Linked DNA regions of Xenopus tropicalis. The main gene of each other region encodes a partner of the protein of the gene in region 2 in a complex. Links are inferred from orthologs where the notes say so. Each region holds a gene or a part of one and is shown on either strand. Other genes may lie near its edges.

What was found.
Region 1: the proteins of lepr (region 2) and lep are in contact, whole or in part, in a crystal structure (PDB 7Z3R), measured with the Mus musculus proteins. The link is inferred for Xenopus tropicalis from reciprocal best matches to the Homo sapiens genes LEPR and LEP. Residues at the interface, in NP_666258.2 of Mus musculus: Tyr439, Leu440, Thr441, Arg466, Ser468, Leu469, Tyr470, Gln499, Pro500, Ile501, Phe502, Leu503, Leu504, Ser505, Val560, Phe561, Glu563, Asn564; in NP_032519.1 of Mus musculus: Lys26, Val27, Asp30, Thr33, Leu34, Lys36, Thr37, Thr40, Arg41, Gln92, Gln96, Asn99, Asp100, Glu102, Asn103, Asp106, Leu107, Leu110.

The regions. Positions count from the first base shown.
Region 1 is NC_030679.2:87,925,213-87,929,036, reverse strand, and holds the end of lep (leptin), read right to left. Parts: intron 1,746-3,824; coding exon 1,386-1,745; 3' UTR 660-1,385; downstream 1-659. UniProt on the Homo sapiens protein: Key player in the regulation of energy balance and body weight control. Once released into the circulation, has central and peripheral effects by binding LEPR, found in many tissues, which results in the activation of several major signaling pathways.
Region 2 is NC_030680.2:84,270,223-84,274,054, forward strand, and holds part of lepr (leptin receptor), read right to left. Parts: intron 3,828-3,832; coding exon 3,710-3,827; intron 3,178-3,709; coding exon 2,978-3,177; intron 1-2,977. UniProt on the Homo sapiens protein: Receptor for hormone LEP/leptin. On ligand binding, mediates LEP central and peripheral effects through the activation of different signaling pathways such as JAK2/STAT3 and MAPK cascade/FOS.

The DNA.
Region 1 (3,824 bases), on a different chromosome or scaffold from region 2:
CAATCTGAATATGTTATTCTTCCTCTATAACTAGGGGGCCCATTTACTTACTCACGAACGGGCCGAATGCGTCCGATTGCGTTTTTTTCGTAATGATCGGTATTTTGCGATTTTTTAGGAAAATTATCGCGACTTTTTCGTTACCAATACGATTTTTGCGGAAAAACGCAAGTTTTTCGTAGCCATTCCGAAAGTTGTGATTTTTTCGTAGCGTTAAAACTTGCGCAAAAAGTTTCGATTTTTTTCGTAGTGTTAAAACTTGCGCAAAACGTTGCGCCTTTTAAGTTTTAACGCTACGAAAAAAGCGCAACTTTTCGCGCAAGTTTTAACGCTACGAAAAAAGCGCAACTTTCGGAATGGCTACAAAAAACTCGCGTTTTTTCGCGCAAATCGTACTGGTAACGAAAAAGTCGCGATAATTTCCGAAAAGTCGTAAAGGCGCCGAAAAAATCGCAAAAAATACGAAAAAGTCGCAAAATGTTCGTTTTCCAATCGGAATTTTTCCAATTCGGTCGGAATTCGTGTCTTAGTAAATCAGCCCCTAGGTGTATTTACCAATGCCTTAAAAATAAAATAGAATTCTAATCATACTTGCTCTGTCAGGTCTACTTAGACAATTGGGCCAATGCAAATAAATCACAACAAAAACATTTTTTTTTCTTACAAAAGTTTATTTTAAAACATAGGATAAATAAATAAATATTTATAACGGTGATTTTTGTGCATAGTAAATAACAGTAACAGCTGCCCACTTTAGCTAAAATATTCAAGTTTAAGAAAACATTTAAATATAAAAATATCTTTAAAATATGCCATATTCCTTTACAAACTAAAGACACAGCTAAGGCTGTCATTTACAGCATGACCTCATTTTAGGCTGGGTGGTACCAAACACAAAGCTGTTTATTGCCATGGCAAAACCTCTCTACTATAGATATATCTTGGAGTTACATTATTTACTGTTCGCTGACTAGTGCAAGTCATGTCCATACAGTTATCAAAAATATTTAAAATATTCTGTAGTGTGCAGTATACAGTACAAATAGGGAAGCTTATTTGTAGGAAACTAGAAAAGATTTTGTTGCAGCTATTGTTATTATTGTATCTACTGATTCATTTAGTGACTAGCAATAACTTACATATAGATTTACTCTATGACATCGATATCTTGTTGGAAACAATAGCTTTCTATAATTTTTCCCTTTAACTATGTGCATGTTTTCACTGACAAATAAGAGAGAGAAATAGCTCCTGGTAAACATTGCCTCTGTTATTTATGCAGTTTGTGAATAAATATGGCTTGCAGTAGTTCCTCATTAAAATGACCCAGGGTTTTTTTTAGAGAAGTGAAAAATAGAGTTATTTTGTCATTAGAAGGGCCTTAGTTAGCAATCAGTGATGTGGTCCAAGTGTTTGACAATACTATGCAGGGATTTTTGGAGGCGATCCAGCGCTACCTTTTCTGTAGTATAAGGGGCTTTAGCATATTCTTCTGTCAGGTTCACCTGAGTGTCACATTGGGTGGGTTTTCTGGTTGTACATCCCATAATGTTGCCCAGTAACTGTAAGAGACTGCGGAGATTCTCCATGTCACTCAACATCTGATCAACATTTTCCAATGGAAGACTGGAGAAAATTTTTTGGAAAACTTCAAGAGTTTCATCCATACTTTCCAGGCTTTCTAGTACCTGCTCATCTGGGATAAAATCCAAACCATTGATTTTCAGATTGCTGGGGAAAAGGAACTGGATTTGTAAAAAAAAAATGAACAAAAGAGAAAAAATAGCAGTTGGTTAGAAGGGGCTAAAGAATACTGAGTAGTAGAAATGGCTCTGCTCCCCCCCCCCCCAAAAAAAATAAGCAGTGCAATGTATGCAAACAGAAAAGGGGTGTATATAAAATATAGCTGCAAAAAGAATGTGAATGTTACCATTCAGTTGCAGTATGGGGACCCAAGAGACACTTTAAGCTTATTTATCAATTTTAGAGTTGGTGAATTTGAGTTTGTTTTCTAAATCGAATAAACTTGCAACTTCCAGTGCTGGCTTATTTATTTTAAGGAAAACTCTATTGAATAAAAAACTCAAATACTTTGAAAAAACCTCAAATATCTCAAATTGATTATTGCTTGACTTAGCCTAGGACAACTCCCATAAACTTGCAAGCTTTTAAAGGCCAAATTTTTACGTTCGAGGTTTTGAACCAGAAGTCGAATTTGAGTTTTCTTAGCGCACAAAAACTTGTATTGATAAATCTCCCTCAATATTTAAATGTGATTTGCTTTATGAAATTCAAACAGGTGACCAACTAATAAAACATTTTGATGTTTCCCTTTACAGTAGTGGTTACCAGACTGTGGGACTGTGGAAGGTGGGCCCATCCCAAAGGCTAATTACACCAAATTTGGTTTTCACTGTTTTGGATGTGCCTGAGACTATAATAACTGTGTTTCTATATATCTGTAATCTTATGATGAGCTAAGAGAGGACCAAACAACATGGGACCAGAAAAATACTTCTGCTTTAAATGAGTCATTTTTCTCCTTTCAGATAAACAGTGGGAGTTATTTATTTAAGTAAGATGCTGTAATGTTACACAAATGTTACTTTTTGTATTTGTGTGTGTGTGTTGCAAGTCTCTACCAACTGCAAATAGAACTGCAAAGTACAAGAGATCTAAAGCAGATAGTTTGAACACCAGCACCCCAGCACATCCTGACAGACTTGTTTTGTGAAGAATCTGAGCATAGTTGGCGCAAACACAATGGCGTGGAAGACAAAGGAAGATCTGAATCTAAACTGAAACAACATGCAATTCTTTTTTTTTAAATTCAAGTTGTCATGTTACTGCACAGATTGCCATGGGCAGGTCTACATGTTTTCAAAGGGAAAAAAAATCTCTCCATTATCTGCCATTTGCAGGGTGGCTTTCCCCAGTGAAAGCAATTTCTCTGATATGGAAACAGAAGGACTGCTGGGTACAGCCACACTCTGTGCCAACTATTATGACCTACCCCCAGCTTATCAACATGGTCAGTAGTCTGAACATAAATATTTACTCATTTTTCCTCAAATGACCTGTGCATTGGTTTGTTTGAAAAGAAAGTGAAGAGATTAGAATACAGCAAGGATTGCTGTCTCTGGGAACAGCTTTTAAAGGGGAACTTTCACAAAAATGAAAATGTAAAATAAATTTCATTTTATAAAAATTATTTAAAAAATGATTATCTGGTGAGCAACATGTTGCTCACCAACCACTTGGATGTTGCTCCCAGTGTCCTCAAAGCAAGTGTTAATATTTACATTTCTGACTTGGAGGCATAAGACCATGTGGGTAATTTATAAAGACTGCACAAATTTGCACCAGGCCAGTAACCTATAGCAACCAATCAGAGGGGAATACTGAAGATAAATGTGAGTATTTCCAAAATGATCCACAAAGTTTAAAAGATTATATTTGGAAAATTCATTTTAATGAGAGTTTCTCTTTAAGTGATACAAACTTTGGATACAAATTGGGTCTAGTGATGATGAGTTTTTAAACAATATATCAGATCTCAGCGCTGCGGAATAAGTTGGCGCTTTATAAATAAAAGTTAATAATAATAATCCCAGGGATTTAGTAAGGGTACAAGCATTGCTGGGTGGTTAATGTCAGGAAGCCAGCAGACATACTGTGCATGCCCTGAAACTAGAGGTTCTTAGTTTAGTAACCAAATGCACAAACATTTTGATTTATCATCTTGGTAACTTTATCATGCACTTGAATTTGAGCATTTTTTATGTATTGTTTGCTAAAAATGACTTAGTGCAGCATCATTGTGC
Region 2 (3,832 bases):
AAAAAATGACATGTGTGACAATTATCTTTGTTGCGAGTCATTTTTTTACTTTTTTTGTTTTTGCGTCTGTTTCACGAAACGCAGAAATTTGCCGCAAATCCATGCCTGCCAAAAAATTGTTATTCTTAAATTTTGACAGCTTGGTCTGAACTACGCTGGGCATATTTGGCAAGGTCTGTTTGTTTGGCAAGGTCACCAAATCTGCTGATTTTCAATGATCTGGGTCAAATCAGGATGATCTGTTGGTTTGGATTATTCTGGAGGCCTAGGCAGACCCATCAAGAGGACCCAAATCAAAACTCCAATGTGGTCCTCATCTTTCTGGTGCATTGTAAAATCCCATTGGATATCTGGCTGCTTTTTGGCTACATATTGCCATTCTGTCAGGAATTCAGCCAGGAGAGAACATTTATTACTTTAAGGGATTCTGTCATGATTTTATGGCATACTTTTTATTTCTTAATTACACTGTTTACATAGCAAATAATTCACTCTACCATTTAAAATGTTATACTTGAACCAACAAATGTATTTTTTTTGTTGTAATATTGGTGTGTAGGCAGCCATCTCAGTGTATTGCACCTGAGTCTGAGCTTTGGGAAGGAGCCTGTGCTACACAATAGAAATGATTTCAGATAATCTAAATCTAAACCATTGTGTATGAAACCAATTAAAACAATTGTTCTCAGTCTCAGATATTCCAGAAATTAGTCATATATTTGTCATTGGAGACAATTGGAACCCATTGGATAATCGCAAATGATAACCTTTATAACAAAGTATAAGATGTATGCCCGTTACTTTTTCTGCATCTAAACAATAACAGGATAGGCCATGCACCTTGTATGATAATTAATATGTAGCATTTATGGGGCATTTAAGGTTTATATCACAGGGATACAGATTTACACTAAATAAATTATAGTTAGCATTTATATGTAGCGCTCTACACTTCAGCATTCATTATAAAGTTCAAATCAGAAGTTGCCTTTGCATTTAGTCTTTCATTCTGCTGGTGTCTTCTATTTGGCATAGATAATTATAAATAAGTATGTCCTGCATCCACCCTCTTTCTCATGTTTAAGGGGCAAATTTATTAAAATGTGATAAATAGATCTTAACTCACCCATCTTTTATTCATTCCTATGGGATTTTTAGAAGTGTATTTATCAATGGGTTAAAGGTAAAACTCACCAATTGCTAAATATTCTTCTTAAAATCCCATAAGAATGAATAGAACATGGGTGACTTTTTATGTATTAAGCTCTTAACTAACATTTTCATAAATCTGCCCCTAAGGGTATTTGGTCATTCCGTTATCATTCAGAATTTAGCTGCATATTAGAAATAACCCATTTTACAGTTATGCTTGAAATATCTGGTAGGAAGTATCAATGCCAGATATATGCAGCAACCCTTATAATGGCTAATTCTACAGTACAGTGAGTTTAGGTTATTTGCTACCTGCTTGCCTGGCTTGGACTCAGTGGGATTATGGTTGAGGTTGAGGACCCTTGTATTTTCAAGGCACATGGTGCCAATAAAATATAACTAGTGTTTTAAGTGAAGAATTATAGCGCTAAAATAAAAATTTTTATTATTAGTCAGTATGAAAAATATTTACTACTGCAAACAGAATCTCATTTACTTTAATACACGCTTTTATCTCTGTGATTATAAAAGTAACAACAAATCACAGATTATATTAACATATTTATATACACTACTGCTTTACTTACGTTTGCAGTCAGACCTTACACAAATGAATAAACTAGTCTCAAAGTAGTAAATGCTACACAGAGTTCTACTAGGTGTGCTTAGATAATGTACGGCAGCCTGTTAAAATGCAGCATACCTTATAGTCAGTCAGAAATGTACTCATATATTACTCATTATGTAGTAGCGTGATCTTTCTGAGATTGTCCTGTGTGAACACACCACACTCAACTGTTTGTCCTTGATTTAATTAATTTTAATATATATGAAAGTACCAAGGCTCTTGAATGAAAACAGATTTAGCTGACCAGCCACTCAATTTCTACACATGGTCATATGATTAAATTAACCAAGCATGCATTACTTTACTTCTGTGTCTAGAGCAGAGGCTCGCAAATTGTGCCACTGTTTGCACTGCCTTATATAATATCATAATATATAATCTAGGCAGGCTTAGAATGAAAAAAAATGCATTGCTTGCTTGACCTCTTATAATGGTATAATATATTGTCTAGTCAGGCATATAAGTACAACTAATGTATATCTTTAGTGTTATGATTAACATTTGGATTTTTGTGGTTTTATATTTTTTAAAATCACAACTAAACTCATTTCCATGAATGGCAGTCATTTACTAAAAAATCTGAATTGAAAAAGCACGAATGAAAAAAAGTCGCAGAAAAAACATGAAACTTTTAGAATTTCACACAAAAACTTTTTGTATTGTTGCAGTGTCAAAAAACCTCTAAAACCAAAAAGTAAAGAAAGACCTTCCAGTTGACTTCTAAATGATCTTAACAAGTCTTAGCTGCCGTATTTTTTTCACGCATAATAAATAATGACAAATTTGGTAGCTTGGTGCAACCAATGTAGGACTGTGTATCTCAAGCACTCAGCAATTATCAATTGCAGGTAAATGTAATTGTGTAATGGGGTGGGTTACCAAATTAAGTATTATGGGTTATGCATGATCCACAGTATATTCCTACTTGAAAGAATATTTTTCGACTTCAACAATCTTAGGGGTATTTCCAAATGCCCTGGATACACAATACTGCATGAGAGTACACAGTGCCGCTCTGTTGGGCATAAGGCAGTCGTGTCTTTACTTTACTCGCCCCATAGACACTCAGGGCAGGACACATTACAACCCTTCACCCTCCAGCACTCCCTAACTTGCTATACTACCTCTCACTATCTGTGTTTTAAGAACCTAATATTCCTAATATTCTATACTTCCTGCATCCTAATATACACTTACCTGTATTTATGGGAAGGATGCAAACAGGTGGCGAATTAAGTGCTCCTAAATGGTGTTGTATCTCAATCCACATAATATAGCCAGAGACAAGGTGAACAGGCTCAAATGTGCATTCATAGAATCCATCCATTTGTAACTGGCAATCTTTTGAAATCGGCACATTGCCTTTTAAATCTTTATCTAAGCAATAAAGTTTGTTTCTTCAAAAGAGAGAATAAACATTATTGGATTTTAGACTGCACAGTTTATGATTATGGTGCATTTTCATATAAAAAGCAACAGGTTACCCGAGAATATGAACACATGGAATTGCATTCAGTAAAGGTGAACAAAAATATATCCAAAATAAAAACAAAATATACTGGAAACTGTCCAAAGGAGCAAAAGAGCAAAAGTTCATTCAGCACTATATTGTGGTGTAATAACTTGATTGCAGCTCCCTAAAGATCATCCAAGTAAAGCCAACCATCCTGTAGGGAAGTGCAGAAAACAAACCAATACCCTAAACAACAAAGGCCCTAAAGCGATCTTAAACTGAATTGAATTTTACTGCTGAAAAGAAACTAATAGAAACCAAGAAATCAGAATTGTAATTTCATTTGCAGCACCAATCATGGACCCCCTGTTACCCCGACCCCACAAAGTCATGTGGTATGCCCCCAGTATAGTTACTACACTGCCCACATGTGTGTAAAATTTGAGTACACCCCTATTACATATTTTTTTACTCACCTATAATACTTGAACTGTAAGACACTTCCTTCAGGTAGTGTCATATTTTGGGAACTCCATCTGCACGTCATCATTTTTTGATTCCCATCAGTTTCACATGAAATACTGATGTTGACATCTTAA